3 linked regions of the Nothobranchius furzeri genome follow. The protein of the gene in region 2 purifies or fractionates together with the protein of the main gene of each other region. This does not show direct contact. Links are inferred from orthologs where the notes say so. Each region holds a gene or a part of one and is shown on either strand. Other genes may lie near its edges.

What was found.
Region 1: the proteins of cebpa (region 2) and cdk4 purify together in Homo sapiens (affinity purification with western blotting; 3 studies listed by BioGRID, with this or other methods). This does not show direct contact. The link is inferred for Nothobranchius furzeri from reciprocal best matches to the Homo sapiens genes CEBPA and CDK4.
Region 3: the proteins of cebpa (region 2) and mrto4 purify together in Homo sapiens (affinity purification with mass spectrometry; 3 studies listed by BioGRID and IntAct, with this or other methods). This does not show direct contact. The link is inferred for Nothobranchius furzeri from reciprocal best matches to the Homo sapiens genes CEBPA and MRTO4.

Annotation. Positions count from the first base shown.
Region 1 is NC_091743.1:49,241,505-49,245,711, reverse strand, and holds the end of cdk4 (cyclin-dependent kinase 4), read right to left. Parts: intron 2,419-4,207; coding exon 2,309-2,418; intron 1,761-2,308; coding exon 1,710-1,760; intron 1,632-1,709; coding exon 1,496-1,631; intron 1,217-1,495; coding exon 1,115-1,216; 3' UTR 572-1,114; downstream 1-571.
Region 2 is NC_091749.1:66,138,958-66,143,216, forward strand, and holds cebpa (CCAAT/enhancer-binding protein alpha), read left to right. Parts: upstream 1-1,450; 5' UTR 1,451-1,849; coding exon 1,850-2,722; 3' UTR 2,723-3,812; downstream 3,813-4,259. UniProt on the Homo sapiens protein: Transcription factor that coordinates proliferation arrest and the differentiation of myeloid progenitors, adipocytes, hepatocytes, and cells of the lung and the placenta.
Region 3 is NC_091743.1:63,518,472-63,522,121, reverse strand, and holds part of mrto4 (mRNA turnover protein 4 homolog), read right to left. Parts: intron 1,784-3,650; 5' UTR 1,706-1,783; coding exon 1,678-1,705; intron 1,476-1,677; coding exon 1,417-1,475; intron 1,327-1,416; coding exon 1,223-1,326; intron 75-1,222; coding exon 1-74. UniProt on the Homo sapiens protein: Component of the ribosome assembly machinery. Nuclear paralog of the ribosomal protein P0, it binds pre-60S subunits at an early stage of assembly in the nucleolus, and is replaced by P0 in cytoplasmic pre-60S subunits and mature 80S ribosomes.

The sequences.
Region 1 (4,207 bases), on a different chromosome or scaffold from region 2:
ACAAGCTGGGGTTGTGTTTTAGCCCAACACCGTGCTCCTGCTGCCTGCAACATCTTCCAGCAGGACCGATTTGGCAGCAATGGTGGGGGGTGGCACGGCCCTCAACATGCTATAACATGCAGATGCGGCTGGCCCTGGGTTCCTTCTAATATAAGACAACGCTAGACCTCATGTGGCTGGAGTGTGTCAGCAGTTCCTGCATGATGCTATGGACTGGCCTGCCTGTTCGCCAAACCTGAATCCAATTGAGCACATGTGGGACATCATCATACACGGACTGCCCAGGCAGTGGAGGATGCTTTAGTCCAGATCTGAGAGGAGATCCCTCAGACCATCCACCACCTCACCACGTGGAGGCCACACACACACTACTGAACCTCATTTTGACTTGTTTTAAGGACATTACATCAAAGTTGGATTTGCCTGTAGTGTTTTTACACTTTAATTCTGATTGTGGCTCCAAATACAAACTTACATGGGTTAGAGAACAAAGTATATTTCATCTGTTCAGATAGAGGATGTTTTATTTTTATAGACAGTCATCTGTAAAACACAACAAACTGACCCAGAATTATTGAATACTTTCTTTTATTCATTTCAGATTTCAGTGTGTGGTGTTTAGTGACATTTGAAGGTGTGAAATTCATTCCACAAAAAACTTTTGTGCAATAACTCAAAAGAAATTCCAATTTTTTAAGCTTTTGTGCGTTTATCTGTAACTGTTTGAAACTTCATTTAAAATGTTCATGATTCAGATACAGCCACTCACATTATAGACAGCGAGCAGCTTCAACACGGGTTACAGCTGTGTAAGACAAACATCACTAACCTATCTGGAGAATGTACGGCAACAAAAGCAGCATTTAAACGAGACATTTCTGCATGTTGACTCCAAGACTAAACATCAAAATCACTAGTGCTGCCCTTTAACTGCTGCTATAACATCTTTACATGTGACTTGTACAAGCTCAAAAACATGGCAGTGCTCATCAAATTCATCCTCACAGAGTTTCATCCTGATTTCTGAAGCAGGATCAACTAAGAAATATTCCCTAAACATAATCTGTACTCAGAGGGCGCTGGATCCTGTTGGTTCTTTTTCTACTGCATGATTTCAACTGGTTGTCTGAGGCGACGTCTCCTCATCCTGGAAATACAGATGTTCTAGAGCGTTCAGCGCTGATATTCGCTTCAAAGGGTCAAAGGTCAGCATTTGCTGTGGAGGAAAGAGAACAGGCAAAAAATAGATTTTATTTTTTTTTTTTACAGTCATTTGGTTGACAACATTCCCCCCACACATGGTTAGCTGTGACACTTTCTGCAGGAAAATATTTCTGTGTGATTTCTTTTCTACATTATATTTTCATATTTCTTTAATAATGTGCTGAAAAGTCATGCATCTGTACGATTCTGCTTTAGTTCAGGAAAGCCCGGGGGTCCGGGGCGTTGGCAGGTGAGAAAAGAATCGGCCTTCAGTTGTTAACTCAAGTCTTACCATCAACAGTTTGGCCCCCTGCTCGTTTATCTCTGGGACAAAGTCGGTGATCGGGCGAGCTTTGACAGCGGGAAAGTTTTTCCTCGACACGGTGACGCCGGTCGGCCACTCCTCCTCCTGCGGCAAGCCGATAACTCTGAAAGCAGATGAGTGAAATGAATGATTTGCTTGGTCGTTCTGGTTGCTGATGTTCCGCTAAGTCTTTGTTACTCACTCAAATATTTTCCCAAGCTGGTCCATTTCTGATTCTCCACAGAATAAAGGTCTTAAAAAACAAAACGATACATGTAAAATTAGTTACGTAATTTTTATTTTAATCATCTAAAACAAATACAGTTCTTCAACCCTGTTGGCTGCTGATGTCATGCTGTTTTCCACCACTAGATGGAGCCACTCTGCACACATCACACATAAACTTCATATCTTCTAGGTACGTCCACCCAGGCTGCTCCCAGACTAAACTCCAGCTGTCAAAATCTGTAAAACTATGTCCCTGAAAATCATCAGCCTGAAATCAAATGCTGACATCCTAGAAAACGTTGATCTCCGGGCTTGTTTGGAAGAGGATGCAGAGCTTTTTTCCTTCCCTTTTTTTTTAAATTCTAAATTTAGTCTAAAAGGCAAATCATCATCAGAAGTTGGGTTATAAACTAGAACTAAGTCTTTAAAAACAAACGGGTTTCACAGATAATCATTCTATCGGATTTCCAGACCGCTCATCTATCAGCTGGAAACATCCCAGTCGTAGCAAACCGCTAAACCCGAGTTGACAGAAGATCAGATACCGGTGATCTGAACGTTATGTTGACTCACTTGCGTCTGAACATCTCAGCAAAGATGCAGCCGGTGCTCCATATATCCACCGGAGTGGCGTACGTGGACTGCAGCAGAACTTCAGGAGGTCGGTACCACAGCGTCACCACCTCCAAGAGAGCCAAACGCAAGACTGGCATTAGTAACAGCACAAGCTTCGCTTCATCTAAGCCAACCTTCACATACTCGAGCTAAACACACGGTGTGTACGCATGAAGCAGAGTTTTGCTTTCGATGTGAGCCTGGTAAACGTCAGCTGATGAATCTGAACGCTGAACTCCTGAGGAGAGCACGCCGGTGCCTCACTGGGCTGCAGATGTGGCTGTTTACAGTCATTCATCAAACCCTTACGAGAAAAAGCAGCGTTCACTGACAACAATGTAAGATGTAGTTGATAGTGCTCTGTGACAGTATTACTAAGCAACCGGTTAAAATTCACTAAAAAATGATGCTAGCAGGCCAGAAACGTAAAGATGCAGAAGTGAGCACATTTCAGCAGGATGTGTTGGTTGAAAGTGAAAAACTAAATAGATCCTGAGTAGAAACAGCCCACTGTGTTAAACACCTTCCTGATGAGCCTTCCTACATAAACCAGAATAGATGTTATACTAGACATTTGATTGTTCTTTTGTTTCATGCTGCTACTTTTGTTATAATCTATAATCCCTAAAACTCTGTAAAGCCAGGCCTGCTGTGTGATTTTCTGCTCATTTTGAGCCAATTTTCCACCCATGCAACAGTCTTTGAGGTCAGGTCGAGTTTTGTGTCGTGTAGTATAGAAGGGGTTACGAGAGGCGGTTAAGACCCCCCGACCAGCTCCCAATCGCACGAGAATCAAGCATATTTAAATTTCTGCTGATCCCTTGTGAGGGTATGACACCGCTGAAGCTGCACCGCGACCCAAATGTACCAGAACCGCTCACACAGCGCACGCGCCAAAATGTCTGGCCAGCCATATTCATCTCCACACACGTTTCCACCTTTTACTTACAGTTTTCTCTGCACATGTTAATGTTAAGAAAGCACCTTTTGTATTCATGTCAAGTAAAAGCAGATCCCAAAACCTCGGTTTAGTTCCTACATGCCTTTCATTCTTCCTCTACTTCTATTCCCCATAAACCCCTGCGTGTCCTCCCACAACTACGGCAGGCCTCAAGGACAACAGACATCAATGACGGCACAACAGTCTCCTCTCTTTCAGGTTTCTGGATTCACAGGTTCGACCCGTTGAGAAAAAAACTCTTAAAACACATTCTTTGGACCGGCGTGTTACTACCACAACAGTGCGAGCGGTCAGAGCGTGAGAACATGACTCGTGGCTGTGCCCTGTGAACAGTGTCAGATGACGAACAACCAACGAAAAAGTCGCACAGTGTACGCCCTGTATTCGCCATCTTGTTTTTTCTGTCATTACCCAAAGCTCATGACTACAGGTGAGGACTGGGATCAAGACCGGCAGGTAAACTGAGAGTAGAGATGCACTGATGTGACATTTTTGGGCCGATACCGATATTAATATCACTGTTAGGGCCGATATCGATATACTGACATTAATGCTTCTAAAATCAGCAGATTTTGTAAAGACTGAATATTATTAAAGCTGAATTTACATTATTATGTACACACACACACACACACACACACACACTTACTCTACTGAGATGATTGCAATCACTGTCACTTGACTAAAATACACAGCACCCCCTCACCCTCTGAAACTGATAAACAAATGGAAACAAGATGGAAAAAAATACCAGTTAATATCGACCTAGTTTTATTTATCGGACCGATACAGATATGTTAAAAAATGGCCGATACCGATATATTGTGCACCCCTAATTTAGAGCTTTGCTTTCTGGCTTAGCTCCCTCTTCACAAGTGGCTGGTTTAACGTCCACA
Region 2 (4,259 bases):
AAGGTGGAGGCCTCAGAAGGAGAGATGAGGTTTCAGGGCGAGAGAGGATGTGTAATAATGAGAGAGGTGGATTCAGCAAGGTGGAGGCGTCAAAAGGAGAGATCAGGCTGAAGGGGGAGAGAGGATGCTTCAGGAGCAGAGAGGAGGTTTCAGGGGGAGATATGCAGCTCTAGGATGAGAAGAGGCTTCATGAGAGTGGCAGTTATATCTTGAAACCTCCTCTGGACTCTCTACAGCTTCTATTTGCTGCAACTTTTGACTTCATCTTAATCAACAATCAAAAAAGAACCAGTTGCTTAAGGGTCACAGCTGGAGATGTGAAGCTGAATGATGCTGGAACTGGACCAGTTCTGGTTTCACCAGCTCTTTATGCCTGTACAAAAACAAACAACCATGATCAGATTGGATCTTCTCAGGTTTTAGGTACTTAAAAGATTTCATATGGTTTTTTATTGGACCATGTTCCTGGATTAACCAGACCCAGAGATTCTGTCTCAGTGGGGGATTCCTCACATCTCAATACATCTCCTGAGGAGTGCGTCAGATGTTCACGTTCAGGTTCAGATAAAGCTATAGGACCAGTTCAGATTCTGCAGAGCCTAAAGATTGATCCCAGGAACCCATATCACAAATGTTCAGAGATAGTTCTGATGGGTTCTGTGGTTCTATGATTGTGATGTGTTTATAGTAAGACAAGTCTTTATATGTGTCTCGGATGTCAGTGAGACAGAGACACATGTCCTCTCAGGGAGACAATCAGATGGGGACTATGTGGTTAAAATATCACTCTTTATTTACAACGAAATAATAGACTTATTACAACTATTTGGGCTAATTTCTAATTTTACATGTTGTACTAAAATGATACTCATTAAAACAAACACACTATCTTTATGACGAGGAAATGGCATTTTAACCGACCCTTATTTATGCTAACAGGAGTTATGCTAATGTAGCCAACAGCGTTACCATGGAGACCACCAGCTATGCTAGCAGAACAGAGCTAACAGCATCTCTGTCATGAACACAGGATCCAGCGGTTGTTTTTGAAGGAGAAAAGGTCCTTCAAAGGTCTCCAAGATGGTGCGAGATGTTCTGGATCTCTGCTCGGTTCTATACGGTCTGAAACGAACCAGAACCAACATCAGACCAGACGGTGTCTGTCTGCGTCCGACAGAGGGCGCTGCATCCCGCATTTTACACGCACACACACACGCGCGCGCGCGCGCGCGCGTGTGTGTGTGTGTTTGTGTGTGTGTGAACGCGCGCACATACACAGAGGTATGGCAGGCATTTACTTACGCGCATAAAAACATGCGTGCGCACACACAGGACTCTTTTGTGAAACAAACAAAAGTTTTATTCTAATTTAATTCTGGTTAATTTACCTTTTTTTAAGTAAACGAAACATCAGTCAAGCGTTTTGGTTCCGATGGGGTGGTGCAGTTCGGGAGACGATCCGCATCAGGTGATCAGAACCTTTAGTCTAGGAGCGAGACCCAAACTCCTTAAACAACACTTGGGATCATGATCGGTTCCGAGAACCTGCAGGGTTCTGTTGTCCCACCCGGGTCCCGGAGGGGTTCGAGTCAGACAGACTGAAGGAGTGTGGTGTTGTCCCCGCCCACCCATTCCAACTATAAAACCGCTGTTTGACAGCTCGGAGGTTACTGAGGACCAGGAATCGGACCGGCAGCTTCTCTTCGTTCCAACACAAAGTGTCAGTCAGTCCTAAAGACTCTGGTTCCGGTCGGCTCCTGTCCGCAGCGGTCCGACTCACCTGAGTGTGTGACTTTCCAAACTGGATTTCCGGAGCTCCTCGCCATGCCCGCCCGGCTTTAGGTTCTCCATGGAGCTCTCGAACCTGTACGAGGTCGCGCCCCGGCCCCTGCTGAGCAGTCTGCCCCACGGCCAGCAGCCCCCCTCCGGCTATAGAGACCCGTCTGACCTCGGGGGGGAGATCGGAGACAACGAGACCTCCATAGACCTGAGCGCCTACATCGATCCGTCTGCCTTCAACGACGACTTCCTGGCGGACCTGTTCCACCACAACTCGCGACAGGACAAAGTCAAGATGATGAATGGAGAGTATGACTGCGGTCCGGGTCCACAGCAGCTCTACATGCCTAACTACATGGAGTCCAAGCTGGAGCCGTTCTACGAGCACAACCCGCCGCGCCTCCGACCGGTGGCCATAAAGCAGGAGCCCCGGGATGACGAGGACCTGAACCCGGGCATGCCCCCTTCCTACCACCACCCGCACGCGCATCCTCAGCAGTACCAGCAGCAGCAGCAGCCGCAGATGCCGCACCTGCAGTACCAGATTGCGCACTGCGCGCAGACCACCATGCACCTCCAGCCGGGCCACCCGACGCCTCCACCGACTCCAGTGCCGAGCCCGCACCATCACCACACGCACCAGCACCTGCAGCAGGGCGGCATGAAGCTGCTCGAGCAGCGGGGAGGCGGGAAATCTAAGAAACACGTGGATAAGAGCAGTCCGGAGTACCGGCTGAGGCGCGAGCGCAACAACGTGGCTGTGCGTAAGTCTCGGGACAAGGCCAAGATGCGGAACCTGGAGACCCAGCAGAAGGTGGTGGAGCTGACGACCGACAACGAGCGGCTCAGGCGGAGGGTGGAGCACCTGACCCGGGAGCTGGACACGTTACGGGGCATTTTCAGACAGCTGCCGGACGGGTCGTTCAAACCCATGGGCAGCTGAGAGATCTGAATCGGACTGGACCGGAGAGTGCTGGATTTGTTTAGAGACAGAAGCAGCTGAGTTCTCAAAACAGCTGCACATATGCAGAACTTTTGGGTCAAGGAGCAGAAAACTTAACAGACCCGGTTCGGTTCCGGATGATTTTAATCTTCAGAGCAGCAGAACGGAACTCTTCCATCAACAAACTGAACCCGTTGGAGACTTTTAACTTGTTTGTTTGTTTATTTGTTTGTCGTGTTCTCGTGCCTTTAACGTTTGTGCAAAAGCCGATAAGCTGAATCAGATGTTCAGTGCCTTAAACAGACTGAGTCCAGAACCACTCAGAACATTTCAGTGCAGCTACGATGAGGTTAGTGCGGGACCAGCCTGCGTGCACGACGCCTTCATTACAGAATTTTATTTAATCACAAACGATCTCATGTACGGAACCAAACCGGACCGAAACCTGTTTCTGAGCTGTTTGCTTGGCTGAACTGTGTTTTGCAGGTGATTGGCTGTTGACACCACGTGGTATCAAACTCACCTTCACACTTGCCAGAGATAAACTGTCTGGGGAGTTTGGGTCAGAGCCAGAACCCATGTTTAATAAAACTAGTTCTGAATGACCCTAGCAAAGCCAGGCTGAGGGTTGTTCGGTACTGAAACCGTTACAAACAGAACCGCCAAAGCCCTGCAAGCCCAACCCTGACCCTGTTCAGACTGAAGCTCTCATGCACTAAAGCCAGATACATTGTGGGACATGGGGAGGCAGTGATGGTACTGATCATGGGGAGGGGGTGTACTGATACAGGTTCTGGACAGAACCCAACAGAACTACGCCCCTCTAAACATGTTTTATTGTGATCAGAACAGCTAAATGTGAACCAGGTTTCAGCATCACTCTTCATCTTCCTGCTTGTTGCAGTCATCTTCACTCAGTGCCTTTTGATCGCTCAGATGACCTTTGACCTTTGTCCGATCCCTCAGATGGTTCTCTGACTTGTTCCAGGGAGGAAGAAAGAAGCACTTTGTTGTTTATTTCTGTAATATAAACATAAAATATAAATGAAAAACCAAAATCTGAAGTAATAAAGAAACTTGTTTTATCAAATTTGGTTCTGGTGTTCTTCTGAGAGTGTTCGGCTCTATGTGCACACACACACACACACACACACACACACACACACACACACACACACACACACACACACACACACACACACACACACACACACACACACACACTAAGTCAAAGATATTCATTTTTACTCTAAAACCAGCTGCTTAATGAGGCGTCAGACAGCTGATCTACTGGTTCCAGCTTCTGTTTCCTGTGTATTTAAATGATTATTATTCCCTCAGTTTGTGCTTTAAGGTTCTGTTTGTGTCATGACTCTGCTGCAGGCGACCTGCCATCATGTCGTAAAATCGGAACTCCCTCAGATGTTCCGAAGGAACTTCAATAATCCCTCAGGAAGGTTCCTCTGGAAAATTCAGCTTCCAGCAGCGGCACACAGAAAAGTTTCAACAACAAGACGAACAAAGGAGCCAACAAAAA
Region 3 (3,650 bases), on a different chromosome or scaffold from region 2:
AATTATCTTTGTATTCATCGGTTTGTCCTTTTCCCAAAGCGACAATCATGACTTTGTTTTTGCCGAAGAAGAACCTGTGGCACACAAACGAGAGATGAGATGGGTTTGGTCAAACACTCATTTTCAGAAAGTATCATTGAGATAAATCGTTAAAATGCAATTGTTCACCAGAGGGCTTGAAGCTTTAGGATCCATATCAAGTGCTTCCAAGGGTGTTTCACCATAAAATATTATTATTGACTTTGTGAAACAAAGGTAGAGTTTAGCATACTCGTTCTTATTTCTGCTCATGTCTGTTACATTTAACCCAAACTCTGATCTGAATTAAATGTTGTGCTTCTCAAAAATCTTCTTGTGCTTTAATGATCATTTACTGGTTTCATCACTGCACCTTCAGCACTATATAAGATCTGGTCCCAGTCAATCTGATCAGAGCTGTTTTAGGTTAAGCCAAGCCTGCCCCAGTTACCTCAGATACTCTCACACACAGGCACGCACTGTTTTTTATGCTGCATCTTCTGCAATGTAACCGCTCACCCTTTAACTTTGCCCCTTTAGTTTATTCTTACATATAATTGTGTATTTAAATTTGATCACATTTTATTAATGCATTTCAATTCTGACATTAAAATCTGCTCATTTACGCTGTCACACAGATTTTAATAATCTTACTAAGCTTACAACTGGAAACCACATTGAACTGCCTCTGTGTATGAAATGTGTTAAACAGAAAAAGCTTTAGTGTCATGAACATAATACATTAAATGCTTGCTAAATTAAGTGAAAACAAGTTATTAAAGCTCATTCTTTGAGGCTGGGTGTGAATTTCTTCTACCTGAATCTATTCCTTTTTGTTAAAGATGGGGTCTTGGGACTCCGAATATAGGCAGTTGTTTACATTGTTCAAAATAAGATGAAGTCCACAAGCACTTTAGTATGAAGTCTGTGATTTTATTTAAACAAATTATTTATAAAAAATATTTATTGTGTTTGTTCAATTAGTAAAAAGCCTTTAAAAACAAACACATGATGTTATTAAAACGAGTTGCTTTAAATGTCCTACAAAGTCGCACTGGTGTACAGGTAAATCAGCTAATATGTAATACCATTACAAACTTCGGATGATTCCCACCCACCGCTACTGTAGTTTAACTGGTCACGTGACAGCAAATGATTCACTCATTAACTCATAACTTACTAAAAATAAACTAATTTGTATTACCTGCTGTGTTTCCATGCTGTCCTGATGTCTTTAAGCTTGTTATTCCTCATATTTTCAACTGAAAATATAAACAAGTATCTGTAGGTGTCCACACATTTCCGTAGCTAAAAGAGAAGATCGGATGGAGAATTTAAATGCATTTAGCCAACGCCAGTCTGTGACAGCAGATCGGGGGGAAAAACATAAAGACTCACCTCCTCGATTAACTTCTGCTTTGATTCTAAGCCCTTCTTGGTGGTTTTAGTTAAGGAAACTGAGAAGAAAATGGGGGAAATAATTCAGTTTGATGCCTAAAGCAACGCGACTTGCCATGATGAAGCTAGCATTAGCTTGTAGTGTACTTCCCTAGCAGCATTTATATATCAGTAATACATTTATTAGACCAGAGACTTGTTTAAAATAGATGCCGATGTAATACGCTGTACTTAGTTAAATATGAAAGCGTTTTGGCTTACTTTTCTTGTCTCTCTTTGACTTCGGCATGGTTACCCACAGCAGGCGCACACGTGAAAGAAAAAGGACCCCAAATGTTTCTGTTCAGTGAAGGCAGTCCCAGAGCGCCTGTTTAAAAATGAAAATAACATATTTTAATTACTAAAATGTTGGCTTTCGGGCGCACTTTTTCAGAGGTTCAATTGTGAAATGTGGTCATTAATTTCTTTAACCTTACTATTTTTTTATTTGTAAATGTTAGATTTTTGTCAAAAGTGTGACCAAGTCACTGCTTTGCAAGTCACACGTAAGTCAAGTCCAAGTCAAAGACAACCAAGTCCAATTATAAACAAAGTGCTGCTGCATTTAGAAGTACAAGATCAAACCCAGAACGAAGAATTATTTATGATTTTTGTCCATGCCATGCCACTTTTGTGCTAAAATATCAAATATGCTCAAGTCATTGTCAAGTCAACAGATGTAAGTCGATTCAAGTTGCAAGTCATTGGTGTTCAAGTCCGAGTCAAGTTGCAAGTCTTTATAGATTTTATCAAGTTAAGTCAGAAGTCAGTAAAATAATGACTCAAGTCCAAGTCATGTGCCTCGAGTCCTCACCTCTGTTTTTTTCCATGACACTTCTTTTGCAAAATTGGGTGGTCACTAGATGTGTTTTTAATAAAGCTGTTATTTTAAATGTCTAGTCTATATGTGTAGCTACTTTGTCCATTATTCTACTTGTTTTTCTTATTGAATGCAGTGTCACAAGCTTAAAACAAGACACACCAAATAAGAAAGCATAGTTTTGTGTGACTCTGGTACACACAATACATCTGAAATATGAAACTTTCATTGTGTGAAAACTTCTTGCTATGACACAGTAAAAGCTTTCAACTGCCTCAAAAACAGTGATGTCATTGGGGTTATGAAGGTAAAATGAAGTGTGCAGTTGAAAATATTAGAACTGATGGAAATCCACAAACAACACTTAATAATGACGGAGATTTTATTTAATCATCTGAAAAAGTTTTGTGCATATTTGAGCTGGTCATTTAAAAAATCTAAAGGTCTATTTTTATCAAGATGACATGGCTTTAAAAAGAAAGGGGTTTTTAATTAAAAAAAATGTAACCAAGCAAACAACACTGTAAAAACTTTGGCCTATTAAAGGGCTTATTCTCAAATAAAACAAACTTGAGACAACATGATGTGAAAATATTAATACATTCAATCATAAGGTGAAAATGCTTGCTTCTATGTTAAAGCCATGTTACACAACTTTTTCATATTTTTAAACCATTTTCTCAAGCCAGCATGTGCTAAAATAACCCTTTACAGGGTTAATGAAATGCCACTCAGCCTCCCACCGTCCTCTGTGGCCAGAATACAGCATTTGCAACAACACCGGTGGTCTGAGCGGACATGGATTGCATATCACTGCAGTCTGGTTCCAGCATGTTTTAGATCGTGAACACAGCTGATTTGTTTGATTTAGTTATGAATCGCTCATGCAGACACTAATGAAGGCTGAGGAGACATTTCAGGCATTAGATTAAAGTGTTAAAAAGATGGACGCATAGGGAGGAGAAAACTTTTGCTTTCAAGTCTACTAAACAGACACTAGGGGGTGCTAAAAGCAACCAAAACTGCCATGTGTGCGTTTCATAAGTTACATAGAGCCAGCCTAAGTTTCAACAAAAGTTTTTTAAAGACAAAACCATAATGCAACTCATTTGAAGTCAGCGCACTTTACTTCCACTCAGTTTAATTTAAACCCAGTTACAAAAGGGCCATTGGGTGATAAACTATGGGGTGCCATTTGTAAAGTCAAACAGTCATAATCTAACAGCAATATTTTTGGTTATTTAGCATATCATAAGAGAAAAAATTGAGAGTTCACTTTTTCAAAGTCATATTTTCACCATGTTATTCATACATTCATAAATGTTAAAGTTTCCAAATAAATATTTAGATAGCACGCTAAATATTTAATTTATAG